Linked DNA regions of Tamandua tetradactyla. Each later gene encodes a partner of the first gene's protein in a complex. Links are inferred from orthologs where the notes say so. Each region holds a gene or a part of one and is shown on either strand. Other genes may lie near its edges.

The links.
Region 2: the proteins of MTOR (region 1) and DEPTOR are in contact, whole or in part, in a cryo-EM structure (PDB 7PEC), measured with the Homo sapiens proteins. The link is inferred for Tamandua tetradactyla from reciprocal best matches to the Homo sapiens genes MTOR and DEPTOR. Residues at the interface, in NP_001373429.1 of Homo sapiens: Met304, Gly305, Phe306, His1494, Cys1498, Trp1501, Gln1525, Asp1527, Ser1528, Glu1530, Glu1531, Cys1534, Met1535, Ile1536, Arg1538, Arg1547, Gln1554, Leu1556, Leu1559, Gln1562, Cys1563, Lys1566, Arg1683, Leu1685, Asp1686, His1687, Lys1710, Ile1711, Phe1714, Gln1715; in NP_073620.2 of Homo sapiens: Arg54, His56, Leu57, Lys58, Thr59, Tyr60, Pro61, Val101, Arg116, Lys119, Asp121, Gly122, Thr123, Phe124, Lys131, Ala132, Arg135, Arg138, Lys142, Glu177, Gly178, Glu179, Glu185, Cys304, Asn305, Lys307, Gly335, Asp336, Ala337, Val338.
Region 3: the proteins of MTOR (region 1) and RICTOR are in contact, whole or in part, in a cryo-EM structure (PDB 6ZWM), measured with the Homo sapiens proteins. The link is inferred for Tamandua tetradactyla from reciprocal best matches to the Homo sapiens genes MTOR and RICTOR. Residues at the interface, in NP_001373429.1 of Homo sapiens: Arg1028, Asp1032, Lys1068, Leu1069, Asp1108, Asp1109, Tyr1110, Asp1150, Lys1187, Asn1196, Val1200, Gln1207, Asp1210, Val1211, Cys1214, Arg1215, Lys1218, Gly1219, Tyr1220, Thr1221, Leu1222, Ala1223, Glu1226, Glu1227, Asp1228, Leu1230, Ile1231, His1234, Arg1235, Arg1238; in NP_689969.2 of Homo sapiens: Leu204, Arg205, Gly206, Asn209, Arg245, Asp247, Val248, Glu249, Glu251, Arg252, Leu254, Thr258, Asp259, Phe260, His261, Tyr262, Arg263, His264, Ser265, Pro266, Asn306, Gly308, Ser311, Gly314, Val315, Cys317, Ile318, Pro319, Glu345, Ile347.
Region 4: the proteins of MTOR (region 1) and RPTOR are in contact, whole or in part, in a cryo-EM structure (PDB 6BCU), measured with the Homo sapiens proteins. The link is inferred for Tamandua tetradactyla from reciprocal best matches to the Homo sapiens genes MTOR and RPTOR. Residues at the interface, in NP_001373429.1 of Homo sapiens: His597, Thr600, Pro632, Val644, Ser645, Gln646, Thr647, Ala648, Val649, Ala653, His686, Ala688, Gln689, Glu691, Met721, Asn722, Pro723, Ala724, Phe725, Met727, Pro728, Phe729, Arg731, Lys732, Leu734, Ile735, Leu738, Thr739, His743, Tyr771; in NP_065812.1 of Homo sapiens: Phe278, Lys282, Cys283, Ser285, Leu286, Pro288, Gln380, Ala381, Asp383, Leu384, Asp387, Glu411, Gln412, Thr414, Ala415, Val418, Trp419, Thr421, Met422, Arg427, Asn428, Glu431, Gln432, Lys973, Ile974, Asp979, Leu980, Glu981, Ser982, Lys986.

Annotation. Positions count from the first base shown.
Region 1 is NC_135328.1:214,143,999-214,151,650, forward strand, and holds the start of MTOR (serine/threonine-protein kinase mTOR), read left to right. Parts: upstream 1-4,642; 5' UTR 4,643-4,762; intron 4,763-6,666; 5' UTR 6,667-6,680; coding exon 6,681-6,842; intron 6,843-7,480; coding exon 7,481-7,589; intron 7,590-7,652. UniProt on the Homo sapiens protein: Serine/threonine protein kinase which is a central regulator of cellular metabolism, growth and survival in response to hormones, growth factors, nutrients, energy and stress signals.
Region 2 is NC_135332.1:164,301,591-164,308,522, forward strand, and holds the start of DEPTOR (DEP domain-containing mTOR-interacting protein), read left to right. Parts: upstream 1-3,924; 5' UTR 3,925-4,116; coding exon 4,117-4,238; intron 4,239-6,932. UniProt on the Homo sapiens protein: Negative regulator of the mTORC1 and mTORC2 complexes: inhibits the protein kinase activity of MTOR, thereby inactivating both complexes. DEPTOR inhibits mTORC1 and mTORC2 to induce autophagy.
Region 3 is NC_135335.1:89,140,766-89,148,039, reverse strand, and holds the start of RICTOR (rapamycin-insensitive companion of mTOR), read left to right. Parts: upstream 1-4,263; 5' UTR 4,264-4,289; coding exon 4,290-4,338; intron 4,339-4,510; coding exon 4,511-4,558; intron 4,559-7,274. UniProt on the Homo sapiens protein: Component of the mechanistic target of rapamycin complex 2 (mTORC2), which transduces signals from growth factors to pathways involved in proliferation, cytoskeletal organization, lipogenesis and anabolic output.
Region 4 is NC_135332.1:72,769,551-72,777,558, reverse strand, and holds the start of RPTOR (regulatory-associated protein of mTOR), read right to left. Parts: upstream 3,007-8,008; 5' UTR 2,449-3,006; exon of another isoform or gene 2,235-2,448; 5' UTR 2,180-2,234; coding exon 2,018-2,179; intron 1-2,017. UniProt on the Homo sapiens protein: Component of the mechanistic target of rapamycin complex 1 (mTORC1), an evolutionarily conserved central nutrient sensor that stimulates anabolic reactions and macromolecule biosynthesis to promote cellular biomass generation and growth.

The DNA.
Region 1 (7,652 bases):
GTGGCCGGCTCTGTCTTCATCGCCTGCCTTCTGGAAGCTTATGGTCCATGTCTGTAGCTGCTCTGACTCGCCAGAGCCAATCGTTAAATCTTCAGGAACTTTGTGAGCTGGTCCACTAAACACAGCCATTAATAAAAATTAAATTATACAAACTTCCAATTAAATTATATTAACAATAAAGGTAACAAATACTCAAAACTCATCACTTCCTAATTATTTCATTAATTTTTTTGAATCACATACGTTCTTCGGGTTATTTACACTTACTGTATCTGTATGATGGAAACACAATACAATGATGTGCTACTGCACATCTGTTCTCAACTCTTCATCCAGTGACATCCGTAAGTAGCTTGAAATCTGCCACTGGGAATACTTACACGGTGCAAATCAGCAAATGCTCGATAATTGTTTTGTTGATTATCTAGGCTTAAGAAAGGGATGGAGAAAATATTAATAATGCATGTTTGGGGTGTACCGGTAGTTCGGTGGTAGAATTCTAGCTTGCTATGCAGGTGACCCAGGTTTGGCTCCCCACCCATGCACCAGAAAAGATTAAAAAAAAAAAAAAAAAAAGCATGTTAAACTCCAGAGTGTATGAAGTCTGTAGTAATTACACTGTGTATAGCAGTGTTTAAGTTTCCATCTGCTAAAACAGATTCCCTGCAATGGCTTAACAGGAATTTATTGGCTCACTGTTTCCGAGACTGGAAGGCTCACTTCCTCCCTTGTCAGTATTTTCTGGCTGGCTAGAAACCTTTGGGGGTTCCTCAGCTTATGTCTCACATGGCAACACACATGGCCGTGTCTTCTTTCTCTTTGGGGTTCTGATGACTTCCAGCTTCTGGGAGCTCCTGGTGGCTTCTTCTTCTGTGTCTGATTTCCTTCTGAGGACTTCAGCCATATGGGATGAAGGCCCATCCTCATCAGTTTGGCCACAACTTTCAGTGGTCCTGTGTACAAATGGGTTCCCGCCCACAGGATCAGGGGCTGGGACCGGAACTTGCCTTTTGTGGGGAACATGATTCAATCCCCAACAACCACCAAAAGTTTAAGGAAATATTCTTCCAGTATTGGAAAGCTATTATCCAATTCAGCAAAAAATCATTCATGTCACTGACAAAGGAGTGAAGGCCCAACATATTTCCTGATTGTTTCACTTTCCTTTTGTTAATATAAAAGGAAATACCGGCCAACATTCATGTCAGAACTACACTCATTCATCAGTTTCAACCATTTTAAGTGGGCTATGCTATATCAAGGAGAGCATTCTGTGAGAATCAATTGGCTCTATGGAATTCACAATAAAGAGCACTGTATATTTTATTATTATTGGAAATTGTGTACTACACATCCTTTATAGCAATAAAATTTATAATACACATAATATATATGTACCCAGGATGGACCACATAATTTGCAGGACCCAATGTTCAAAACGTGGAGCCCCTTGTTCAAATATCATCAAGAATTTCAAGACAGAGCACTGTGACTTCACAGGTTCAAGCCCATGAAGCTGACCCTGTAGATGAATATATGTAGAGAGCCGCTTTCCGGGTTTGGCCTAGTGGACACGCTGCAGCCTGCTCTAGAGTTCCCCCCGCCCATCGAGTGAGCCAAGATGGCGCTCACATCCTGCTTCCGCAAATGACGCACACGCCCACCAACCCTATCTTCCAATCACCTCTGTATACGTGGCACTAACCTATTGGGTTTGGGCACAGTATATAAGAGGTTACCCGGACGGGGTGGGTGGAGACGACCCACAGGGAGCCGTACCTGACGGCCGCACAGAGGTTGTCTCCCCGCGGGGTGCTTAGGCCCGCGTGGAACCTGTAACAGAGAATGCAAGCTTAACTCCAGTAAAGGTCTGTGCTCACAACCGTTGCGTGCCTCGAACCCGTGTTTATCACTCGAGTCGGTTTGCCTGCGCCTGTCTCTTTCTCCCCTCCTGTTCCCTTCGCCGGCCGGGGATCAGAAGCCGAACGAGATGGCTGCGGACAAATATATGCACCCCCCCCCACACACACACACATGAAAGAATGATCAGTGGCCAAACCTGAGTGTCTGAAGCATTGCTGCATCAGACAAGGGAAATAAGCTAATATATTAAAATCCTGGCTCCATCACTTACCAACTATATGACTCAATCTCTCTGTATCTCAGACTACTAATGTATAAAATGGGAACAATCCATCCTGCCTCTTAAGTAATGTTTAAGAATTACAGTTCAGCAATTATGAACTGATCACATGTACCAGATAATGTTGTAGGCATTTTACAGGTATTAGCATTTAACCCCTATGACACTGTCTACAGAAGTAGGTACCATAATCATTCTTGTTTTACACATAAAGAAGTAGGCACATAGAAATTATTTGTGCCCAGGTTCAAACAGTAAGTGTTGGATTTAAGTAGCAGATTTAAGCTGACTCCAAGCCTCTTCCAAACTTTATCCTACAATGCCTACCAAAATGCCTAATACATTTTAAGTGCTTAATAAATAAAGAGCTCCTTGTAAACTAAAAAGAGATCTACAAATGCACTGATTACTGCTGTCATAAAACCATCTTTGTTAGTTAAAAAAACAGGGACTTGCTTCATTTTAAGAGTGGCAAAAATCTCCCATTTCTGGTGGGAGTGAAAATTGGCACAACTCTTAGTGAGGGCAATTTGGCACTTTCCATTGAAACTACATGTGCATGTACCTCTGATCCTGCAATCACATTTCTGGGAAATTATCTTGGTACGCCCGCCCAGGAACAAAATGATATATGTACAAGGGCATTCACTGCAGCTTCAGTTGTAAGAGCAAAAAACTGGAAACAACACAACATCTATCAATAGAAGATGGAAAATAAATTACAGTGTATTCACATAATGGAATACTATGCAGCGACAAACAAGGAAGCTTTCTATATACTGGCATGGAAACATTTTCAAGATAAAAAGTGCAGAACAATGGATATAGTTAGAAAGGGGTAAAATAAAAATATTTATTTGTATTTGCTGATATTTGCATAAAGATACTCTAGAAGGTACATAAGAAACCAAAAGAATAAATAGTAAAGGGACATGAGTGAGTGCGTGAATTTCACTGATAAATGATTTTTATTTTGATATTCCTACAGTGAATACATTCTTTTTCACTTAATTTTTATTGTAGTTATATATATACATATATGTATATAAATTTGCTATTTTAGCCTTTTTTAAGTGTACAAATCAGTGATATTAATTATTTACAAGTTGACCAACCATCGTCACCGTCCATACCAAAACTTTATCACTCCAAACAGAACTCTGCACCCATTAAGCAATAACGCCCCTTCTCCCACAACCAACCCCTGGTAACCTCTAATCTACTTTCTGTCTCCACGAATTTGCTTATTTCTAGATAGATATCTCATATAAGATATTTCACAAAAGTGAACACATGCAGTATTTATGTCCGGCTGTTTCACTTAGCATCGTGTTTTCACCAAAGTTCATCCATCTCATAGCACGTATCAAAACTTCATTCCTTTTGACCGCTGAATAATATCCCATTGCATGTATACACGGTGACTCTAATACCTACTCAGAAATTATTAATGATTAAAAAGTAGTTAAGGGGCGGTGCAACGGCGGCTCAGCAGGCAGAATTCTCACTTGCCAAGCCGGAGACCAGAGTTCAATTCCCGGAGCCTGCCCATGCCCCCAAAAAGAAAAATGTCGCTAAGAGGGTGCAAGGATAGTTTAGCGGTAGAATTCTCGCCTGCCATGAAGGAGACCCGATTGGATTCCGGCCCATGCACTTCCCAAAAAAGAAAAAAAAAAAAAAAATCCAACAAATGGTGCTGCAATAACGGGAGGCTCACGTGGAAAAAGAATGAAATGTGACCCCCACAATACAGCATACAAAAAAATAATAATAATTAAGTGCCATTTTTGTTACTGAATTTTTTGGGGGGTTGGATGGCGGGATGTGCACTGGCCGGATCCGAACGGGGTCTCCCGCGTGGGAGGCAAGCATTGTACCCCTGAACCACCTCCGCACCCCTTGCCATTGAATTCTGGGAAGTTCTTTAAAACGATAACGTTGCTTTGAAATAATTTGAGTAGCTCATTTAATTAAGAACTGGTTATAAGTTCTCAGAATGATCTTTGAGCTAAAAAATTTTTGAAAAGCGAGAAAAATCTAACTTAAAACGTTCTCAAATGCATATTACATTTAAAGAAGAGAATTCATGGAGCCATAAGCAGAGCGCGGGCGAAAATTCTGAGACGCCAGGCTCGGAATTATCCAGAGCACAGCCTCGAACCTCAGTTTACAGCCGCTTGGACCCGCCCCGCAGTACCCAAGAGAACAGACTCGGCACAGCCACATCCCCGGTGCAGAAGGGAATTTTAGCAGTGATACACCGGATGTTTGAGTGGAAGTGACGAAGTCAACTCACGACCGATTGGCTCTCCCGAGCGGACCTCAGACTCCTTTTGCCTGTCACTGGCCCCCTGGTTTGTCTATTTGAAGAATCTCCGCCCCCCGGAGAAGCCGGCTCCTGAGGCGTCATACCTCCTTCATTACTATTGGACTGTGTTCCAGCCTATCTTCTTTTTCCGTCTGTCGATTGGTCATCGGGGCTGGGGGCCCGCCCTCACTCCCGCCCTCACTCCCGCCCGGCTTAGAGGACAGCGGGGAAAGCGGGTGGTGGGATTGGGGGTCTGAAACGGCGGTACCGGCGCTGGCGGCGGCAGCTGAGGACTTGACCGAAGCCGCGCGGTGAGTCTGGGGTCTGGCACCGACTCTTTTAACGTGGCGGAATGTCCGGACTCACGGCCAGTCTGGTCCGTATGGGGTCCCGGGAAGCCGCTTGTCGGGAACGTGGGGACTCCTTAGTACCGGCACCTCGGATCTGGGCGCCACCTGGGCCCTTGACCGCCACCCGGCGAGGCACGCCCACCTCCCGCGCGACCCCCGGCACCCTCTAGCCCGCCTGACTCCCAGGCACCCGCGAGGCCTGCTCATCAGCTCCGGTGCGGCAGAAGGCCCTTGGGGGCTCTTTGCCCTGTGGTCTCAGACACGCCTTCTGAGCCACCTACAAATCCCGGACCCCCTGCCTCGGAGAGGACGCCGTCAGTGACAGCCCCTTGTTCTCCACCGTAGAGACTTCTCAGGGACTCAGTCCCCGGGATTGAGCTCGGTTCCATGCTGGGGTTTCATTCTCTTTGCCTTTCCCACGTCAAGACACTTGACTTCGAGTAGTTTACGACTGAATTCGACCCGGAGCAGATGGCCTGTGGGCCTTAGACCGTATGAAGATACACTGGTCCTTTCTTGAGAATGGGGAATCGTTTGCCAGCCGCCCACCCCTCCCCACCACCGCCACACACTCACGCACACGCAAACGGTGTAGTACTTTTCTCATGAGGGATCCTTGGAATTTCTCTTCTGTAAAAGGTGCTAATTTCCTTTTGCAGTCTTCTTGGCACTGGAGTATTTAAAAGCTTTCAAAGGCAGTTATTCCCTGTTTTTTCCTCTGCGTGTCACAAATGCATTCAGAAATAAAATTTTTTGAGTAATTGGTTTTATAATATAATTTGAACGTAACTAAGATAGGTAAATATGTGTTATTCCCGTAGGAGTCTGTCAGGAGTCCCACTATGACCACTTTATTGTGGTTGCCTGATTGTCTTTATTTACCACTGGATCTTAAGCTCACTGAAGAATGAGTGAATGATCTCAAGAATTAATCAGTCTCTTTTAGTTCACATCTGAGAAGCTAGTGTTCTATAGAACCAAACTATCTAGTACAATAGCCACCAGCCACAGGCGACTACCAAGCACTTAAAATGTGGTTAGTCTAAATAGAGATTGCTCTAATTGTAGAATACAGGCTAGATTTTGGCGACAGTACAGAATAGAATGGAACCTGCATCAGTAATCTTTTATAATGATAGCATGTTGAACTGAGATTTTGGATGTATTGGGTTAAATTAAATATTAAAATTAATTTCATTGGTTTCTTTTCACTTTTTTTTTGAAATATGGCTACTAGGAAATTTAGAATTATTTTTGTGGATCGTATTTTATTTCTGTTGGCCAGCACTGCTATAGAATAATAATCTCCCTTTTTAGATTAAACTCCTTGAGGAAGGGGGCTGGCTTACTCATTGTTTTATTCTCTCCTTTCCTCCCCACTTCTAGTACCTGGTGCTGTGCCAGGTATATAGTGGTAATAATGATAAAAATAGCTGACACTTATTGAGAAATCACTGTGTGTCTGACCCCATTTTAACTGCTTTTTTTTTTAACCTGTATTAATTCGCTTGATCCTTACATCAACCCTTTGAATTAGGTACTATTATCCTCATATTGTAAATGAGGAAACAGCTACAGAAATTTTAAGTATCTTCCTCTAGGTATATAATCTTGGAAGTAGATTTAAACCCAAGTAGTCTGGCTCCATGGCACACACTTTGACCCACTGTGTTATGCTGCTACTCACTGTTGGGTGAATGTTTTCTAGGCTTTCTACATTTTCCTCAGTGAAGTCTCCCAGCTCTTAGAATCCCCTACCTGACCTGGGGCCGGGGGGAGTGGAGATCTATGTTGAGGAGCCTAGGGCCAATAAATTCATTCCCATAGTTCATATTCAGAATACTAAAGAAAGCTTCTCTCCAAAGAACCTTAGGGCAAAATGCTTGGAACGGGACCTGCGGCGGCCACCACAGCTACCACCACCTCCAGTAATGTGAGCGTTCTGCAGCAGTTTGCCAGTGGCCTGAAGAGCCGCAATGAGGAGACCAGGGCCAAAGCTGCCAAGGAGCTCCAGCACTACGTTACCATGGAGCTCCGAGAGGTTGGGGGCTTCTGTGATTTGGGACCAGTCATTGTGGGGTGTTTGGGCTAAATTACCATCACTGTTTTAGATGCTTTTTGACAGCTAAGGAGGATTTGGAAATGTAGAGATTCTGTTTTGGAAAAACGACCAACTTGTAATGTCCATAGACTATACAGGTTCCTTTGCAGTGGTTTCACATGTCTGTGGCATTTCTTGTGTTTGTGGTAACATTTTTGGAGTCAGAGTAGAGGCTGTCTTTTTTAATTTATTGTCTTTCCTGCCACGTACCAGACCCTCATTTCTTTCTTCCTGATTATAGTGGCTGGGGAAGTTGATAACCTGGAGCTATCTAAGTAAATACTCTACATGAAGTCAGCAACAGTGTCTTGTTCATCCTTGTACGCCAAGCACTAGGTAGAACCTAGGACAAGATGTTTCCTACCATAAAGTTGATAATTAATAAAGATTTAGTAAATGAACAGATCCAATTATGAGTTCCATTGCTGCAGTTTAAAGCTGTAAAAATGGGCAGTAACTTTGTCTTCTTTGGTTTAAACTGTACCTGCTAAAAACCTCTCAGGTCCTAATCTTTGGAAGGCCCCCAACCCAAACCAGGAAGACATTAGAAATTGTTCTGAGCACATCTTCTTTTGCAGATGAGTCAAGAGGAGTCCACTCGCTTCTATGATCAGCTGAACCATCACATTTTTGAATTGGTCTCCAGCTCAGATGCCAATGAGAGGAAAGGTGGCATCTTGGCCATAGGTAAGCATGTCGTCTCTGATAACAATAACAGCTAGGAATACAGCCCCACTTATTTTTGTGTCC
Region 2 (6,932 bases), on another chromosome or scaffold:
GCATTCTAGGGCTGGCTGCTGTAATCCTTGGCTTCTACCTACCTCCCGTGGCCCCCAGACTCTGAAGTCCCAGTTGCCTCACATTTAGTTTTTAAAGTTCCCTTCTTAAAGGATATGTCAGTAGAAATATTTGGAAAGGATTATCACTAAATCAACTTTGCCATTCATAAAAATCATGGCTGTGGGAGAATCGAGGATCATTTATGGTTAATAACAATATAAATCCTCTGATACCATAAGAATTTATAGAAGGTGTAATGAACTGCTTAAAGGAGTCCAGGAAGAGGTCAAAGAGAAGGTGGGATCTGACTTAGTCCTTTAAGATTGGGCAAAAATAATCAAGGTATACGTGGAGAGACCACACAATAGTAATGGCAGCTCATTAGGCTTCATAGATGACCATATTCTTTGACACATATACTGATTCAAGTGCATCTTTTTCTTACATTGCGTCCACCCTTTAGAAGCGTGAACTAGCATTACTGCACAAAGTGTGGTCTCCAGACTGGCAGCCACTGTCCACGATGAGGGCAGTACTGGCGCTGAGAGAAATTATTTTAGAAATCTTTATAGCAATTTGACAAAATTATTTTCTGTCTTTTGACTTTAACAATAAAAAAATCGGGGGTGGTGTTTTGTATGTCTTTTTATTTAGCTCTTATTGTTGTTTCAGTTTCCTAGGCTGCTTATGCAAATGCCATGGTTTGGCTTAAACAATAGGAATTTATTTGCTCGCAGTTTTGGGTCCAGAAAAATGTCCAGATTGGGTCACCATCAAGGTGATGCTTTGTCTCCAAAGACTGGCATTCTAGGGCTGGCTGCTGGTGATCCTGTTTTCCCTGTTAACCCAGCAAGAAGTTCTTAGAAGGGCCACGGCAAGTCACAGGACCGCATCTCCTGGTCTCTCTGGGTTCTGGTTTAGCATCTTGCTTCCTGCGCTTTCTCTCGCTCATGTTTGAATTAATTTTGCCTATAAAGGACTCCAGTAATAAGATAAAGACCCATCCTGGTTGAGGTGGGGTGCAGCCATAACTGAGGTAACCTCATCAAAAGGTTCTTCTTATAATGGATTTAACACCCACAGGAATAGATTAAAATTATGAGCATGTTTTTTTTTTCTGGGGTACATACTGCTTCAAACCACCACAATCATATTTTACAAAAGTATCAGTCTTTGATGGATTGAAAACATACATATACGGAAAACTCATCCTTCCTAGGAAAATTTGAGAAACATTAGACAGAAGCCCAAAAACAGCCCAAAAGCATAAAGGAAGTGAATGGGGTCAGCAGGAAGGAAAGGCTCAAATTGAATGAATCGTCCCATATGGAGCCATGAATCAAACTGAAGTCTGTCATAATTCTCAGCCCTTCTAAGAACATCTTGCTGGATTAATTGCCATCTCTCTCCAACAGTATCCATAGATGACAATTTACTCTGAGACCAGTTGTTCCAAGGCTCACTGGTACCCACATGTCTTGAGGAGAATGCTCACTAATCTTTCCTTAAGTTAGGAAAAAGGGTCTGTCTTCAACTTAAAGGAGCATGGTGTGTCTCGACATGTCAAAGGAAAGATTAAAACATCAAGCCAATTCTTTCATTTCCCAATCATATCTTCCCCAAAAGGTTACCTTCTTCCGGTAAAGCAGCAAAAATCAATCATACTCATTACTTCCTGTTGGAATAGTTTTATCAGGTATTTTCCCACCTTAAATTTTGTTGTGCCTCATTTTGAAGTTCCAGTAATAATTTTAAAAAAATTAAAATTAAATTAAAAAATTGATAATTTAGAAAAAGCATTTTGTCTAACAACAAAAACTCATAATGGAAACTATTTTGGCAAGAATTTCTTTTTTTCTCTCTCTCCTCTATCTCCTCCTTCTTAATCTTATTATTAAAAGCGGTAGTGTTGTTAAAGAAAATAGGTATCAAGGACATATTATATAAAGAGGAACTTTACATAATGTTATTTCATTCAAGTCCCACAACATACCTATAAAGCAGGAATTATGGTTCCTATTTTAATGATAGGAAACTGAGACCCAGAGAAGTTAGGTAACTAGCATAAGGTTGCAAAGTCAGTAAATGATATAAGCAGGGTAGGAAGTACATATTTGATATAAAGTCCATGAAAACTCTTAATATACTACCTACTAAAATTACAGGGTTAGAATATATGTGCAAAAGACAGCTGTTAATCTCAGTAACTCTGGGGTATTTCCTTCAGTTAAATGATTTTTAGATTTTGTGCAGAGTGAGGCTCTTAGAATGCCAGTCATCTGGAAATATGTCTCAATTGACATGCATTTCCACTATGCTTTATTTTAAAAATTAGAAAATTTAGATACTTTCTTTTGCTGAAAGAGTTGCCCTGTACAGCCTCTGTTGGATACACAAGGAAGTCGGACATTTTTCTCTTTCTGGAGTGTCCTTGAGGATCTGCAGAACTAGTTCAAAGGGCTGCCTAATCAACTTTCTAGATATGACATTTAGGCAAATAACTTCCTATCTCTGTGTTTAAGCTTTCTCATTTGTAAATTGAAATAATGATATCTGTCTCCCAGGGCTGTTCTAAGAGTAAATTTTAATTTATCTCTAATTTATACTAGAAATAAAATGCTTAGCACCATGTAAAGCAAAGAATAAATGCTCAACAAATATTTGCAAATTTTAAGTTTTTACTATAAGTAGTTTTGGAGAGTGTTGGAAAGGGCTACTGAGATTTTCTTTAAAAATAAAAAATAATTTTAAAAAAAGGAACACAAAACCCACAATATAAAACAAGCCCACAGGATAGCAGGTATAAATAGTCTTGGACAACAGAATTGCTAAAATTGTACAAAGAAGTTGGTTCTCAAAGTCCCTCTCATTTTCATTCTTATTCTCTAGACTTCCACTATGTATATGCAATTGAGAAATCATGTCTTTCAAAATAGTTATTAATAAAAAGTAGCTTCATATTCACCCATTGTAAATAGGCACACAAGCGAATAGATACAAAAACTGTCAAAAGCTGCATAAGAAATCATTGCACAGATAACCTTTACCGCAAATGACCACTGCCATCAGCACTCATTTGCCTTTCTCTGACTCCCTGCAGGGAAAGAATGACAGGACATTTGACGCTAGTTCTTTCCTTGGTCTTCATCTGATCCCTGTGAGATAGTCAATGCCATCGTATTCTCATTTTAAGAGATTATCCTTTAAGAAAACAATTTTGAAGCCAGCATAGCCTGGGTTTGACTCTGCCTTCTTGCACTTACTATCTGCTTGCCTTGGACACGTTGTCTCACTTCTGTTAGCCTGTTTCCTGAAGTAAACTCAGGACAATATTCATTTTGTTGTTGTTGTGAGAACTAAACAAGTTAACAGTGTACCTGAGGCATCTATTAAGCACCTATAATGCAGCAGATGTCAGCAAGTGGTAGCCACACAACCACTTATTTTGAAAAGGAAGAAGTTGAGGAGTATAAATATTTAGGCAGATAATTACACGTGAAGCACTGCATCTCGGGTCCATCTGATTTCCACGCCCACATTCTTTATTGATTACCCCATAATGTAACTCTCTTTGATGAGGGGGATTGAGCAAGAAGCATGCGGAATTTCTCCATGACTTGAAGTGACATTTATACACTCCCTTATTCACTATTAGGCTATATTGCGATCAATTTTACTTCTCTGACAATTCGGGGGACGAAAAGTAATAAAAATATCCTCGCACTTCTCTGGTAACCTTTCCGTCTGAGCATGAGACTTGTAGGACCCATAGCATGAGCTTTGTAGATACAGGAAGGAGAACTCACCCAGTTCCAGCTCTGCCAACACGCGGAGCGCAGAAGCAGCGCCCTGCCCAGATGTTTATATTTTCCTCCCTCGGCCCCGCCCTCTGCCCACGCGGGGCTCCGGCCACGCCCCCTTGCGGGAGCTCCAGGGGCCCAGGGCTCCTAGTGCCTCAGTCAGCCCAGAGGGATTCCCTCCCCAGCCAATAGCGTCTGAGCAACGGGACTGCCCCTAACAAAAATGGCGCGGGAGGCCGCTGTGAGGGCAGGTTAATCTTAACACCCGAACCCGCCGCGGACCACCAAGATAGGGGTAGCGGCGCAGTCCTGACCATGGAGGAGGGCGGCAGCGGTGGCAGCGGTGGCAGCGACGGCAGCACCAGCGGGAGTGGCGGGGCGCAGCAGAGGGAACTGGAGCGCATGGCTGAGGTCCTGGTCACTGGGGAGCAGCTACGGTAAGGCGAGGGGTAGAGCGGACGTTCGCTGGGGCTTGCGGCTCGCTACTTGTGCGGGGCTCCCGGGCAACTGCGGACGCGTGGAATGGTCCCCGCTGCACCCTTGCCCAGGGCTGCGGCCCCGCGCGCGGCGGACACACGACTGTCGCGCGGGTGGTCCGGGCTGCGCTGTGCGACGCTGCTGCAGCCCGGCGCCCGGAGGACTCGCTGCCACCCTCCGCGTGTTCTCTCTCTTCCAGGGCACCTAGGCGCTGCCAGGCCTCCCGGCTCACAGCCCGGGCTGGCCCGCCCAAAGAGGACGGGGACCCGTGAGGGCCCCGAGCCTGACCCCAGCCCCCTTGCTCCTAGATAAAAGGAGCCAGCCTAGCGATCGCCTTCATTTAGATTGTCCTTTATGTTGGCAAGTCTCTGAGCCTCAGTTTTCTCATCAGTATAATGGGGGTGAACACCTCGCCTCACTTGAAGATTTATTTCGGGGGACTAAACCCAGAACATTGCTGAAACACTCCACCTATCACTTAATTGGCACATCGTCATTAATCATCGGTGGATTCCGCTCGGGGGCGTTGGAGGCACCTGGTGGTCCTGCCCTGCTACTGTGCCAGCCCCTTCAGGGCTCACGGTCTGGGCGCGGAGTCCGGCGGCGCGGGGCTGCTGCGGGCACCAGGACTTGCCGGCTCTCACCAGGCCCGGGAACAGGCAGTGCCCTCCAGCCCCGCCTCGCCATTCCCATCCCTTCTCGGTCCTTTTATGTTCCAGAATTGTGCTTATGATCTGACCGGTTCCGCTCTTCGTGCGGTCAAAAATCAGTTTGCCCGGGCGGGGGTGAGGAGGGGATGGGGTGCGGCGGCACCGGCTGGTTCTGCAGCGTCTGTCCGCCGGCTTCTGGACCCATCCGAGCAACCAGCGCGCCAGTTCCTTCTAGCTCTCGGTCGGAATCTCCCGGCTCATTTTGGTTTCTAGATGCTGTATTTTAGAACCTCAGGGACGGAGAATCTTGCAGAAGTCCCAAAGGCTGGGTCACCACCCTGCTTGCAGCACTTAGATTGAGGAAGTAAATATTGTAAGTCAGAGTAAACGGAGTTAAACGTGACGAAAGGCAAATTGTGCCCCCGCTATTCTTTGTTAACCTTTTTTTTTTAAGCGAATGGTCACTATTAAAGGGAATAGAATCTTTTTTTCCTTCATCGAGAGTATTCTCTATTTAAAAAAAAACACTTTTGATGTAATCTGAAACACTTTCCATTGCTTTTACAGACACTAAATTACAAAATGCCAATATTTATCCTTCAAGATGCAGCTTACATGCCTTTTCCTTGGAGTCCTTGAGTGCTTAGGACCCATCTGCACTGGTACAATTTTGAGAGCCACTTGGCATGTTGATAAAAAAGGCAGGGGTCTTGCTCTCACTCAAAAGTTAAACCGACCTGGCTTTGAATTTTTGCATAGCCACTTTACAGCCAAGAGTCAGCATTAAGGGGTTTTGACAAGGACTTTAAGCTAGACTGAATCCCTGCTTCGCCTCTTTCACTAGTGTGCCACCTTGAGTAAGGTAAACCACAAATAATGGGTAGTAATGGAACTTACTGTGCTGTTATGAGGGTTGGGTGAGCTAGCCTTTACGGTAAGTGTAGCCTGGTGTACAGCAAGCAACATGCCAGCTTGTGCCAGTTGTAGCTCTGTGACTTTGAACAAGTTAGTTCACTTCTCTGAGCCTCTGTTTCCTCATCTGTAAAATGGCAATGAAAACAAGTTCTTCATGGAAGTTGTGAGCGTTTGGCCCTGGGCTTCATGTGAGTATTCAATAAATGATTGCTGGAATTAATTAGTATTGTCTCTGTGAGTCACTGGATGTGGCTTCCAGCAGAGCAAGATCTGGCAGGAAGGATTGGGTAGTGGTGACAAGCACTGGATACAGACTTAGGCTACCTGGGGTCTTATTCTATCTTAAACTATTAGTTGCATGACTTGGGGCAATTTACTTAACCTCTGGGTGCCTCAGTTTCCTTTTCTGTAGAAAGGGGTTTCTAATGACGCCTCTTTTGAAATTTTGTGAGTTTAAAGGAGATGCTAATTATAAAGGGCTCAGTAAATGTTTGCCATTTAATTTTGGAAGATTTTAATCACTGCTATTGATATCTCAACAGTCTTAGTACTGTACTTTAGCGTATAGTAATTACTCAATAAATATTTGAATGAATAGTGTATGTAATCCACAATACTATTCTATTAGTAAGGAGTAATAAAATATTCCGAATTTAAGGATTTAAGTGGCCGTATGCTCTGGCTTTCTGATTACTGGAGGAACCCCTCAGAAAAAGATGGGATTGTGGCCAATCACTGTTGTCGCTGTCATAGCACATTTCTTACATCCTTGGCTGGCCTCTCAGAGTCTGATGGTGGGGACTTGGTGATGGATCAGCCTCCTGCTTCTGATTACTTCGTACCCACAGATCTCTGCCATCTCTTGATGACTGCTTTCTGGCTCATCAGAGATGAGGCAAAGAGTGGAAAGAGAAAACCAAGATCTGTTCTTTGAAATAAAAATGTTGACTTTCAGGCCCAGCTGTCTGAGGTTTTTCCTATTTAATTTTTTTTTTAAGCTTTGTTATCTTGAGCAAGTCAGTTAACCTCTCTAGACTATAGCATCCTTACCTGCAAAATGGGATTAATTATATCCTTTCATGTACAGTT
Region 3 (7,274 bases), on another chromosome or scaffold:
AGTAGCATGTTATGTATTAGACATCTCTTTTAAAAATTAAATCTAATCTTTTCCTTTAAGGTATAACGGTAACCAAGAAATTTACTACTTTTCAAAAAGAATTTTGTGCTACGAAGAGAGTATTAAAAAAACAGAAAATTTGAAATGTTTCCAGTTTTGTGATTTTTTTCTGAAAACATTAAAATTATTAGTCACCTATAAAACCCTTAATATGTGCACATCTAAATTTTATGTATGCAGCATTTTTTCGTTTATTTAAAAATCTTCCAGATGAAGTGTCTCAGTGGGTTTTGAAACCATTTGCTAAAACTTTATGAATCTTACATTTCCAGTTTACAAGGAAAACTGACAAGAGAATACAGACATTTACTTGCCAAAGTAGATCAACGGCCCTTTTTTTAAAACTGATGGATGGCACTGAAAAACCAGTGTTAGAATTTAGAAACTGCTTAGTTTCCATTTTTAACCTTGTATTTTGTGAGATATCAGCTACTAAAGCCCAAATCCAAATAAGCTCTTTAAACTGGTCCTCTGAATTACTAGCTCATAAATTATTTAACAAAAAATTAAAAAATTAGGAAGTATATTCAGTCCTATTGCTGTTTAGTTCTACCATTAATATAGCAAAATCCAAAATTATTTTTTACCATTTAAATTTAATCTTTATGTTGTATGTTCTGCTTTATAAAGAAAATAGATGTACATGTATTGGGGTACATGCTCAAATGTTCCTTTTTTAGTAATGAGATGTACAAACAAGTCTGACAGGTCCACTGGTTAGCAGATTATTAAAATCAAATGTTTGTAATTGTAGTTTAGTAATGTCAAAAAAAAAAATCCCTAAAATAGTTTTCCTAAGGAAAAAAAACTATATTGGTAAGTAATACAAATTTGCTTTAGAACCATTAATACAAGGAAAAGAAGGATAAAAAACACTAGAAATAATCCATGTTAAAATTTTAGTGCATTCCTTTGAGGATTTTACTTTTTGGATATTTCTGCATCTTTCTTTTTCACAAACATAAGTATATTCTTCATTTAAAATTGTATGCATAGACGACCTTTATACCTTACAGAATTTTAAAAACTAAAATTTAAAAGAACTTTTGGGACAGAGATTAAAATTTAAATGACTAATACTGGGAGGTTACTTTCTGCTGTGAGCAAGGCTGAAACTTCATAATCAACCCTGTGTAGGATTATAAGATTTGTTTAATTTAATCCATTCACTGTCATTTTCATGGCCTTTATCTAGATCTCAAATGTGTGGCTTAATTATGTAGAGAAGTTACCAAGAAATAGATGACTAAATTTTGCGGTTTTCAACTTGCTTTATCTTTATATGTCCTAAATAACAAGACAAAGAGATTAAAGGGAACTAAGATTTCGGTAAGGCTTTTGTTTCTGTTCAACATTACAAGTGTATCTGAAACTGATATTGTATGGTTTATAATGTAAATTATCCTGTGCCCAAAAGGATAGACAATAGACCCCAGAGAGTGATTATTAGTAGAGTCATCATATCTTTGGAATCAGTTTATCTTTTAGTGGGGGGATCTTAGACCTACTTTCATACAATTTCTTTTTTTTTTTTTTTTTATCAATGACTAATGTTATGAGAAAAACATTCATTGACACTGTACACAAAACCTGGTTGGGAAATGATAACTAAGAAGAGGAAGTAACTTTCTTAATGACCAGATCAGAATCAAAATGACACAGAAAATTGGAGAAGTAGTAAGAGGCAAACAAAATAAGTAAGACATAGTGTGGGCTAAAATAAGAAAAACAAGTTTCAAAAAGAGGAATAGCTAACTATTCTCAGTAACACAGAAAATAATTTAGGGATTAAAACAACCAGCAGACTAGGATCAATAATGTTGTGCTTGCTATTGTTTAAAAGGCAAAAACAATATTGTTAATTGTATTCCTTACTAAAAGAGATGTGTTCTCTAAACTGCTTTCTTGTTGGGCATCTCTTTTCACTTTAAGAACAAATGTGAAGACCTTACTTACCCACTCAAATGACTGAAATAGTTAACAGGAAAAACTAGTTTCATTGTCAGATTGAAGAAAGAAGATACTTTTTTTTCTGCCCTAACAGATGAAGTAAATGAAGAAAGGGGTGATTGAATAAATAGGAACATACAGTTATAAAGATGAAAACCTACTGGATTCAGGCTCTCAAATCCTGAATCTCAAGTACTTTAATAAAAAAGTGGATCAGTTGTACTCTACTTTCATGAAAGACTGAGAGAATGAATTTAAATTGTATTAGGAAGAAGTTAATTTACAATAGATATAAAAGATCAGATAAAAAGGGCTGATTGAAAATTGGAACAATTGAATTTCCATGGATACAGATCCATTTTTTTTTTAAGTGGTGAAATGTGATACATGGAAGGAAGAAATATAACATTTTTAATATTCTGGTCAGATCTCAAGTTTTACTGCCTAATGCAGTAACTAGAGTAATTTGCACAAGGACTTGCAAAGTCTAAAAGAGGGGGCAAGTTTTCTGTTACTGAAACTTCTGGTACTGTCAGGAGGCATTTCTTTTGAAGTATGGTAATTGTGTTGCATCTTTTAAGTGCACATGAACTGCAGATATCTGAATGCAATATCGGACTGCACAGACAGAGGGTTTCTTAAGGAAGCAGGGATCCTGTTTTATTTTCCTGATGCTCCTCTATGCCGCTTTTTTCTTTTTAAAATTTTTGTTTATTGTACAAGAGATATATATTAATTACAGAACACTTCAAAGATAGAGATAAACAAGGACTAAAAACGCATGTGAAATTTCACAATTGCGGGTGGGTGGGGGGAATCAATGGACATTTTGGTATATAATTTCTCATATTTTTCGGTATATATATGTAATTGTATATTATGAAATATACTTATATGTATTTTGAACGTTTATAAAAATCGTAACTTATATCTTTGTAATCTCTTTCTTGATTTAACATCATACACAGTATTTCCTACTACATCACTTAAAGCCTGCCGAAATTTACATAACCAATCCCCTACATTTAGTCATTTGTTTCCAATTTTCCATTATTATAAACAACTGCAAAATCCATCTCCCACATTGGATTTTAAAGCAAGAAAAGCATTGGAACAAGGAGGAAATCCAGGGCATCTACTCATCCAACATGTTTAATGAACACAGGCTGGGAACTGGGAAAAGAGAGGTGGCTAAGGTCTCCACCTCAATTAACTTCCAGTCTCATGGAGTAGAAAGAAAAACAGTTGAGGAACAGGAGGCAAGAAAATGCCTCTTTCAAAAGTGAATTCAGTTTGAAAGAAAGTTGCGGGATCAAGGGTTATCTGCATATATATTGGATAGCTAAAGCAGTTTCTACCATTAAATAGCCCAACGGTTAATAACTATTAGGTTTATGTATAACAATGTCAATACGCATCCACAGTAGCCACTGCTCTAGAAGCTACACAGACAGTAAACCCGGGCACAAGGCTCCGCAACCTCTCCTAGGATGTAGAAAGAGAGGAAACGCCCTCCCCCCGGCCTGCTGGCGCTACCGCGCGCCCGGGAACAATCCCACCGCCGGAGACGACCACCCTCCTCTCCCGGCTCCTTCGCCACTGCCTCACGCCCTACGCTAGGCAGTCAAAAACAAGACCTCCATCCAATGATTCCGACTCGGAGAAGCCCTGAGTATGGTTTTGAATGCTCGCACGATGGTCAGAGCGAAAGGGAAAAACAAACTTTGTTGCACGTTAACTTGGTTAGAGGAAAGCGACTCTCGGGAGCGATTTAAGTGAGGTTAAAACTGTATGCAGTGTTTCTGAGAAACACCGTTTTAAATGAAGAATAAAGGGGCGAGATTGTCTATCCCAGGCTCGAAGGCAACAGAATCCGGCAGGATGCTTTCAGCAGGTGGCCAGTCGGCCGCCTCCCAACCTCCTCCAACTCCTGCTCGGTTTTGACCGTACGGTTCCGCGGCGGCTGGGGGGAAAGTATTCTCCACGCTGCATATTCCCATCAATGGGATTCCCCTCGTGGGAAATGCCTCTTCTTAGCAACACGCGCCCTCGAATTGCCGGACCGGCACCGCCCTCTCCTCATCCCGGGTGGGCGCTGAGAGCTGCTCCGAGACGCGGGGCCACCGGCCACGCGCCACCCAAAGACGCTCAGGCGAGCAAGGGGCGGAGGAGATGCAGCCGGGGCGGGGAGGGGGAGGGCGGGCACGGCGCGCGGGGAGGGGAAGGGGTTCTCGCGCGATTGGGCGAGGTTTCCGGTGTTGTGACTGAAACCCGTCAATATGGCGGCGATCGGCCGCGGCCGCTCGCTTAAGAACCTTCGAATACGAGGTAAGCCTGCTGCAGCCCTCGCCGCATGCCGTTCGGCGCCCGCTACCCCTGGCACTTGCCTCCCCCTGGTCCTGGGTGGAGGGAGCGAACCGGGGCGCTGGCTGTATCCAAGGCTGCCGCCGCTGGCCTGCGAGCGAATCCTAAGTGGGTTGTGTGTCTGTGTTTCTCGCAGGGCGGAATGACAGCGGCGAAGAGAATGTCCCGCTGGATCTGACGCGAGGTAACTCACGGCGCCTCGGGCTCCCGCGAGGGCGTGCTGGTGGGGAGGAGTCGGGGCCGGGGGCAGGGGCCGGGGCCGGGGCCGGGGCCGGGGCCGGGGCAGGGGCGGGCTCCCGTTCGGGACCGGCGGGTGCGGGGGCAGAGCCGGAGCCCCGCCTGCCGGCCCGCGGGAACCGAGCCCGGGGCCGCCTCTCCGGACCGTCCCCATCCCCCTTCTTGGTGCTACTTCCCTTGCCCCTCGCCCTCCTCCCGGCCTCGGGTGCTGCGGTTGCTGGGAGCCCCCAGAGGGACTCGGCGGGCCGGTGACCCTTTAGATTCCCTGAACGCCCCGGAGCGTTTTACCCCTATCCCAGAGATCGTACAGTTGAATCCTGGGGGCGGCCGAAGGGAGGTAGAGTTGTTATTTAGGTTGCAAGAGGATGTCTGAGGGAAGAGCGACCACATCCTGCCCTGCCGGTCCCCCGGATCAGAAACTGGACCTTCTCAGTGCTTGCTGATTGCGTGACTGCTTTTCTCTTTGCCCACCGCCTTGGGGGACCCCAGTGTTGATAACTCGGTATTGAGTCCTGGAGCGGATCCTCGCTGCTAAGTGTATAAACTGTATTCCCTCCTGCTTTCCTTTCTCGGCCGCTGGGACAGTAGTTGGCAAAGACTGCCCCCTTACCCTGATGCAGGTTCATTGTTTACCTTCTGCAGTGGAGATGGGTTTGTTTACACCTTCTGAACTGGGTAAACCCCGGTTATATTTTTAAGGGACTAATCCTGCTACAAGTCAGTATTTCTATTACCAGTCGACGTACTGGAGTTTATTCGACGATGTCTTGTTGACAATTTATTAGTAATATACATGATTTTTCTTTTCCACAGTAAACTCGATTTCGTTTACTGATTCCAACATTCCTATTTCATACCTACTATAGCTTAGTGTAATCTGATTCAGGTACACAAATCACTTTCCGTTTTGAGATCTGAAAAAACACCCTAGGAAGTTATTAAAAAAAAAAAGTCGTTGTAAACATTCTATATGAAATAAAAGTTTTTGCTTTTTTACCCTTTGTTGTACTTGACATAATTATTCTTATCTACAGAATTTGTTAGAGGTGGGATTATTGTTGAGTCTCATATCTATATTTAAAGAATAATGAATTATCTTTTATTTTGTTTAGCATAATGTAAGATTACCCTTAGAAACTGTAGGATTAGTTTCTTTGAACTATAAGAGTGCATTTCTGTAACGATATTTTATTCTGAAAGTTCGAGGATTAGGTTTCTGTAAACATATATCCTTTACAGGCAGAAGAGTTTCTAAAATACAACATAGTAGGGCTTAAATAATAGAAATGGGGATTAATTAGATCGTCAGTGTACTAAATCAGAACATTTTTTCCAGCAGATAGGTTTTGAGAATTAGTGTAGAGATGTAAAGTTTTTGACTTTTGTATGACAGTTTAGAAACTTGACTGTATGTGGTATATAACACACATATGAGAAATATGAATAAAATATATGTAGAAAAAGATTTCCTTATAAACTTCCTAACAAAATGAACGTAATTTCTTCAAGAGCAGAAACTTGGCAATCCAGTCCTGTAACAGATGTAGTGTTAGTGATTTAATTTATCTATGAATGTATGTTTTTTAGATGGAAGTGCATAGAGTACTTATTAGGTAGATTTTATTTGTGCGTTAAAAACTTGCTAGGATGTGGTGCTGACTATAAGTAATGACTGTGTTTTAAGCTGAGTTTGCCGAGGTTTTATATATAGTGAGTTCTCTGATTAGTGCCAGAATTCTGGGTTGTACAAGATTATGGTTGTACAAAATTATGTAGGAATTTGATTTGATGCTATTAGTTTGCTGCAGTTTCACTTAAGTATACAGATAACTCTGTTTTTACTATTTAAAATGGTATATTCCTTAAGCAGTTTATAAACTCCTACAATGTCCATAGATATTTCCAGGGTAATATAAACTGTGCAGAAAATGCTGTTTCTATTTGCCCTAACAATATTTACTTCAGTTCGTAGTAAAATATACACAGTCAATTGAAACTGAAGGCAAAGGCAATATACAGTTAAGTGTGAAAGGTTATATGAGGACTGTATTCCTAAATTCTAAGGAAATTTAGAATATAAAAAGTAATCTGAATTAGATTCATTATATAGTGACACTATTGTTTAAACAAATTGTTACTCTGACACACATTTCCTTGTTAAAAGAAGGCTTATGGATCTAACGTGAAAGTTCATGAGAAATTAAACTTTAGGAATAACTTCAGAAAAGACATAGTTGGTTGGAGCTAAAGAGTAGCAGTTTTTGGATTAGATTACAATATGTAATGATGGCTTGGCTTACCTTGCCAAATTGAGGTCTGGGAGAATTTCTTTGGTTTTGGTACTAAAGCTTCGTACTGGGTGCTGGTACTGAAACATAGTATTAGTGCTCATAAATAGTGTACCTTAATTAAAAATTGTTAATTGAAACCTTTTAACCTAGTTTAGGAACTTTATTGTCATAGATTGTACAATTTATTGGTAAATGTTGCTTTCAGTTTTGTTTAGACAACTACCTAATTTGTGAAAGATCCTGAAATTTGCTAATATATCATTATTCTATTTTGCATGCTCACATCTATTTTGAAATCCAAATGCTTCCCTTAGCCACTTCCCTTCTAGGAGAGACCATTTTTTATCATTTCAGTAGTGCATTTGTTCCTGA
Region 4 (8,008 bases), on another chromosome or scaffold:
TTAATTTTAAAAAATCAGTCCATAGGTGGTTTTGTTTGGCCTGCAGTGTTGCACTGCATAGTTATTTGTAATATCTCATTTAGTTCCAATATTTAAAAATAAGGGAAGGGGAAGGGGAAGGAGGAGGGAAGCGGGGAGGAGGAAAATAGGGGGCAGGAAGGGAAGGGGAGAGGGAAGGGGGCAGGGGTGGGAAGGAAAAAAAGATAATGCACACGAGAGAGAATTCTAGCTGAGGCCCAGCTGCCTTCTTTAGATAGGAATATGCTCTCCAGAACCCTCCATTCCCATTCTCCAAAAAATCTACCAGACACTGAAAATCTACAAGACACTGAGCCAAATGTTATCTTTGAACTTATGCCAGTATTATTCTCATACCTGACCTGCTTTGTTCATTTATGCTACCTTCTAATTCTAGTCCAGTGGATTGAAAAGACCCCCTCGAGTTTTTTGACTAGAGGAAAGAGACTTCAAGGACTCTTTAAAACCTCTCACAAATGTAACAGAAACTGTTAGCTGTTGATTTTCGTCATTATTCAGCAATTTGCAAAGGTCAGATACAGCAAACTTTCTCCCCTGGTTCTTTTCTGAATGGCAAACTCAATAGTTACTCAGACTCTCACAACTTTTCTTTACTTAATGATCTATGACAAGCTTATTAGGGAATGCTCGGCATTCACAAATTAATATATATCAAAATATATCCATCAATCAGTTTTGAACAATTTGAGCGTGGGTTTAAGGTAGTAAAAGGAACCACATTTCAAAGGAAATAAAATTGCCCTCCAAATAGAATGTGGGGGAAAAAAAGATTAGACAGAGTTGCTTTAAGATAAATTTCTTTTCATACATGAACAACAATCCCAAAAGCTTTAAACTATGTAAGTAGTACTAAAGATGTTTATACAACAGACTTCTTCTCCTAATGACCGTTTATTGTACATTTTAAGCTACTCTTGGATGAAAGAAGTTTTCCTAATCTTTTAAAAATAAACCAAATCAATAACTGAAGCACTGGTTGAATTACAATAGAGTAATCTTACATGTTTAACATCAGATATTAAAAACAATAACCTCCTGTAAACATGTACTGAGCCTAGAACAAACCATATTGTATTGCAACACCAACTTCCCCTTTTTATACCACTGAAATTCAGTTCAAATAATAAAGGCACCCTTGAAGGAGAAAATAAATCACAAAAGGCCAAATTACAAGTGTGCACAGATGAGATGGTTCCACCCTTTTGCTTTGAAGACCAGGAAACATGTGGTTGATTAACTATGCATTCTACAAAAATGGCTTTCTTCTTTCCTAGCAGCTGCTTGCGAGCCAATGAATAATACACTCCAGCACCATGGGGGCCCAGACCCACTAAAAACGCCTGGACCCAAATTCCAACCATCATATGCTAAATTCCACTATTAAAGAAATTCTGTTTCCATGGTACAACAACCACAATACCATATGAGTCTAGATTCTAGACAAACTTTTGAGAGGACTATAATGAAACTCATTGTAACTTTAAAACAACCTTGCATTAATTTGTTACTAGCTGAACATTTCACAGTAATCCTGTTTCTTAGCACACTGTTTTATATTAGACTTCTGTAATTACCCAGTTTGGAACCCACCCCCTATTCCCCCAAAAGTAGACTATCCACATGGGTCCAAGTGTTGGTTTATATCCCAAATTGTCTTTTCTCTAAATCCAACAGCACTAGATATAGTAAAGAGTGTATAAATATTTACAATACTGTATTTCCAAATCTGCTCAACTTTTACTAGCTGAATTAGAACTTCGTTTGAATTGAATTAACGCTACCCACTAATTACTAACCAAAACAATCTTTCCCATTTTCAACCAAACATTGGAGTCGGAAATGCTTCTTGCTTTTTGGTTGACTTGTAACATGTGGCTGGGAAAAAATACCGGCGCTTTCCCAAGGACACGCCTCTGGCTGAACTTTCCTCGTTGGCAAAATTACCAAGGTCCAAGGGACTCGGTTAGGACCTACTTACCCGGTCCTTCATCCTCCAACTCTGTGCTAAAGATTTGGAGCCCTCGATTTTTTCACAGTGCCTCTTCTTCATAAAAGCCAAAGGCAAGTTCCAGTCTGTAAGGTCGGCTTCATCTTCCTCCCCGAGTCCCAGAAGGGGCGACTGCAGCATCTCGGACTCCATCAGGGAAGGAGGGGGTGGGGGAGTCCTTGGCAGTAAGCGCTCCAAAACCTCCAGCCTTAAAAATCAGCGTGTACCAGAATTGGTGAAATAAGAAAAAGAAAGAAGAAAAAAAAAGGGGGGGGTTAGAAAAAGAAATGAATGGAGAGTATGCAGAGACCCTTACTCAAGCAAAAAGTCTGAGCTCCCTATCTCTAACTCTGCGCGGGAAGTCGAAGGAAAAGCCGGTGGCAAACGGGGCAGCCCAAGGAGCTCCACACAAATTCACACACCCTCAGACCCCAAGCCACTGGCTGCTTCTAGAATGACCGTCCTCCGAGCGTCTGGGAGCCGAGCTGTCAAAGGCGTGAGACTTCAGGCCTAACGATGACCCTGCTCTCGGCCTCCACCGCCCCAGCAGATCGGAGGGCAGGCAAGCCCCCCGGTCTTGGTGCCGGTTCGCCGACTGGACGAGATCTCCGGCCGAGAGCTATTAGTTCTGGGCGCCTCAGGTCTCCTCCAGTCACTCTCAGCCCTGAGGGTCTCGTACTCGCCTAAGCTGCTGCAACCAGAGCCAGGATCGGCCCATCGTGCTGGCCTGCGGCCGGTTCCTCAGCCCCGGGACCGCGCGGCCTGGCTGGTCCTGGCCCTCGGCACCCTGGCTCAATCCTGCCTGAAAACGAGTCCTAAGGAAAGGGCGACACGGCCCCGCGGATAAAACGGTAACGTGGGCTTATTGGGTTTGGAGAGTTCTGCCCTCTGGTTTGGAGCGACAGTGAAACTCCTCTCATCAGCACATCAAGGAGGACGCCATGTTGCCGAGACCCAGAATGCATTGCAATCTATGGCGTGCCTGACGGGCCAAACTTCCTTAAAGCATTCTTCTCTAGTTCTCTAGATCCAGCAAGACAAGAATTTCCTGCCTGGTTGCCTGGGTTACCACAATTCGGCCTCTCTTCATTTATCGCCGCATGGTATTACAGTCACTCCCAGAAATGAAACCAGATTCAGTTAATTAATTTTGAAAAAAGAAAATCCATTATTGCAACCCAAGTTACATGCTTGTGTAATTAAAGGAACCGACCGCCTTGTTTCTTCCAGATTTTGAAAAGAAGGCAACATAAGTTTCAGGAAAAAAATCCATAATATTTCAGAAGAAAATTAGTATCTTTTGTACTTAGTATCTGCCACAGTACCCAGACCAGCAGGTTCTGTTTTTAATTTTCTTCAGAGAAAAACAACTGAAAAAAAAATACCTCATAGGTCATTTTTTGTTTTTTCCACCATATTTTCTGAGCAGTTTTTTGTTTTTTCAAAGACCAAAAGCTATGGATTTCTATGCGTTGAGGCAGTCCTCCCAGATTATTTTATTTCTCAATTTCAGTGTAAATAAACACTCTTTATTTACAATGCGCAGGAAACTGTTATTAAGTGCAGTGGGGAATATAAAGCCGAATGCAGCGATCAGTCCCTGCCTTCAATAAACTTAGTGTCTAGGGAGACACACACATACCTTTAGTTAAAGCGGGACGGAGCAGACACTCGGTCTTCCTCTCTGCTTCTGAGTCGACACACCTGGATTCGAATCTTGGCCAAGTCACTTTCCATCTGTGTGACCTTGGCCAATCCCTTAACTAGCTGTCTTTGTGTCCACAACTGTAATACTGGGATAGTAATCCCCGCTTGGAAGGATAAAATTAACTCATGCCTCGTATATAGTGAGCATTCAATAAGGATTAGCAATAATCTTTCTGTGGCTAGAGTGAAATCTAGCAAACCCTTCCTGCTTTCTTAACCGAAAACCTCAGGTTAGGCTCTCGAGGATACCCTGTTGGTGGCTTCCTAGGACTTTGACACAATGTGGCTGTCCGCCCCCAAATCCTTATGGCATGTTCTCCTCTCAACGGTGGAAGTGCAGATGAGGGCAAGATTGTTCTTACCCATAGCAAACATTTAAATTTGCAAACTCAATCTACTCTCATTGCATTTGTTTCATTATTATACCCCACTAAGCCCAGTTCTCGCATTAGAAATCAGGGCAAATTCACCAATCCTTAAAGGGGGGCTACGACGTTTTGGCAGAGAGTATCCCCACAATCATGAGCAGGAACTTGGGAAGACCCTATTCTCACCAGAAGGCAACAAAATAACTTTGGCCCCTGCCTTGTCTTCAGGCTGAGGACAGCAGGGAAGGTGGCACCTCTGGGCTTCAGGCAGCTCCCTCCAGCAGGACCCTGTGCTGCAGTGGAGCCCCAGATTAAACCTGTCCATTCCAAACCTGAGCAAACCCCCTCAGTCTGACTGAGGCTCAGTGTACCCACCTGTTAACATGTGACCCTGGGGAATCAATCCACTTACCTTGTCTGACACACTAAGTGACGTTAAGAGATGAGCCCATAGTGCATAACTTGGCAGTTGGGAAAATACTTAAAATAAGGATGCCTGGCTCTATCTTGAACCTATTAAACTGGGAAAGAGGGGTTGGAGAAATGGGATCTGCATTTTTTCAATCAGATAACCCCAATGATAGATTAAATCAGCCATATTTGGGGACATTAGACAATTTGCTCTCTAAGGTCCCTTTCAATGCTCCAAATACATGTGGGCCCTCAATAAATACTTGAACCAAAAAAAAATTTTTTTTTTTACTGTAAAGCACCTGGCAAAGCAGAGCAAGAAAACACTGAAAATTTCAGACTAAAACACTTCTTCTCCTGCTGTACAATGTGACACCAGAATCAAGAGGCCAGGAGGGGGTGAGTGCCCAGGCCGAGTCTCCAGCCCACCCACTGAAACCTGCAGACTCCGCAGAGCCTCTGCCTGTCTCCACCCAAAGTCTCCACATCTGTGACACAAGAAACCTGAAGAAGGTGCTCTCTAAGGACCCTTCAGATACAAAATCCTGTCATTTGTGTAAAACCCAGAAAGGGGCTCCTGGCAGCCCAGCCTCCAACCTACAGATTCAAACATGAGCTTGAGTCATTTCATCACATCATGACATTGGAAAGAAATCTCATTCCACGTGTCCCGGATGATTCTATTCCAGTCCCAGACAACCCTTCAGCTCCACATTTCAGGAACACAGAAGCACCTATGACAACAACAGGCTAAAATCCAAGGGCTGATGTTTCCCAGCTGGGTGATCCCATCACCATGGCAGGGCCTGGCTTGGCCACTTGGGTCTGCCTTTCCAACTTCCAGTGTCTCCAATTCTTCAGAAGCAAAGACATCTGCTTTCCGCAAAGGTTCGAGACAAAATAGTTTCAACAAGTTTTACAAATCTGAAGAAAAAAAAAAAATGCATGAAACTTGGTCTGATTCAAGCTATGGAAATGGGGGAGGGTCGTTCATGACACCTGCCCCACTGAGTCTTAGAAAGAAATAGTCTTTTATATAAGACTTGACAGCAGTGTTGGCAAGGCAGAGGGGTGTAGAAACCATCCTGCCAATGGTGGGCAGGGGCCCCATGTGGAGGGAACTGGGGAAGGGGAGGGGCCTCTAGGCTCAGCTCTGATCTGAAATATCAGAATAGCCCTTGACCTGCCTGCTCAGAGAGGGGGATGTGTCCTGACCATGTGAGGACAGACGGGAGGATGCCTTCCAGCCCTAAAACTCAGACTCTGCCTGCTACATGAAAGACACCCTGAAGCCAGAGATACAGCCAAGTGGGCAAGAGGACAAATATCAAAACCTGAGTGTGTTGATCAAATGGAACAAAAGTCAAGGGTAAATATGGGAGGGGGGGTGGAAGGTGAGAGGGGGTACTGGGCAGAAAGGATGGGATTAAATACCTAATGTAAGGAGCAATTTGTGGACGAAGGTCAAAGGGGACTGGATTTTCACAGCCTGGAAGCTCTGCTACTGGCCCACTCCAACTGACCTAATCTTTCCCCGAAACGGAAGACCCTTGCAGCCTAGGTGTTCCATTTGCACGCAGCACCGGTTTTCCATCCTCCAATATTGCAGTTTCTACACTAAATCAATCAAGGGCATTCAGTGTGCTTTGTCATCATCAAGAATCAAGAGTGAAACCCAAGGTCGGACAACTGCAGAAAATTGGGTGCTTTGCTGAGCTATTGTTTTCCACAGACAGAGACCGGCCGGCTCCATCCCTTCCAGAGAAATCTGTGCTTAGCTTAAAAGAAACCAAAATAGATATAAAGTACTTTGTTTTTCTCCGAGCATCATTATTCTGTTTTTAGCAAAACCCAAGCCGTCCCCCACCACACCCTTGCAGGTCAGATGTTTTGGTGACAGTGAAGTGAGAAGGGAAAGGAAAGGGAAGTAATGGGACCTGAGCATCACCTCCAGTGGGAAATGCGAGGTTGCGAGAAGACAAGTCTGTCTCTCTCACTTTCCACGTCGTCTTCTAAAAATACGGTGGTAGATGTATGTGTGATCTTCACTCTCCACAGTATACTTTTCTATTTTATTTATAACTTTTTTCTTACAATGAGCGTGTATTATTTTGATAAGCAGAAATCAACAGTGTTATTCTGCTTTAAATAAGGGATGACCTCTGAGTCACGTGGGGACTATGGTGAAAAGTGACCCCTTAGTCAATAAACTTCACTCACTGGCCACATTTCTTATTTCAGAATTGAGGATTTTTGCACCGTCCCAGCCTTAAAGGGACAGCAGCAAGGCAGAGCAGAGAAGGAATTGGGCGTGTTGCATGAAGACAAGAGACCAGGAGTAAAGCCTCAGTCCTGCATATACTGAAGAATTTTCCAGGGAGAAGACAGTGAAATGTGACCTTTACCTCAGCCCTTGCCTCCCCTCTTGGGAGGCTGTTCTCCACATGGGGTTGTGTTGTCCGGGATGACAAAGCACCTGTTTGGGGTACCTAGAATGTAGAGCAAGGTGGAAAGCAGAGCAGAGGGAGGGAGGGGGGAATGTGTCTGGGTCACATTCCCTGTTGGTCCAGTGAGGACCCTCTAGCCAATCAGTCTGGACAGATGAGTTAGTCCACCTCCAAGTCATTCCTGGATCTGACCCCGCTGTCCACAGCCCTTGGAAATTCTTTGTGGAGCAGGATGAAAACAAGTGTCCTTCCCAGGTCACAAACTCCAAGATCGCCCTCCTTGCTCCCCCAGGACCCTGCAGGTGGAGCAAAGAAGATGGACATGTGCCCATTGCAGATAGCGTGTTAAGAGAGGCCCCACCCGAACAAGACGGCGGAGTGAGATGCTTCAGGGCTCGCCCCCCCAACAGAGAAGCTTCGAAAACCAAAAAGAACTGGCAGAAACGTCTTTCTCAAAGCTCCAGAAGACGGTTAAAGGGCCTCAAAAACAGGGTGAGCACCAAATCAAGAAAACAGGTACTGAAATTGGTAGAACCCCATGGTACCCTGGCTGGCCCGCCCCCCACCCCTCACCAGCTCAGCACAGAGCTGCCCAGGCTGCCAGTGCCCCGGTCCCAGCCTCAGAGGGAGCAGTCTGACCTCCTGGACACCCTGGGAGCAGGTGTGTCTGGGCCAGTCTGTCTGGGGGTGGCCTGAGAGACTCGCTGTCCCAGAACTTGTCCTGCATGTGGAAGGAGGCTCACCGGGCAGAACACTATGGGTGAGCAGGCAAGCTGCGCTGCCTGGGCAGGGGACTGCTGCTGTGGGACACACAGGGCAGTGCCCCTGACCGCGAGGAAATTCCTAGAGAAGAAGGGATATTCGGAACCATGTAAGTGGGGGATTTCCTAGGGCCACATTCATATGCCCAAGACAACATACATGCAAAAGTATCAGAAGGTCCCTGCACGTCCACCTCGAGCTATTCTCTAAAATCATTGTGTGGATAGACTGAATGAGAGCTCTCTCACCTGTCCATCTACGAAGACAGGGAAAGATATTTCTTCCCC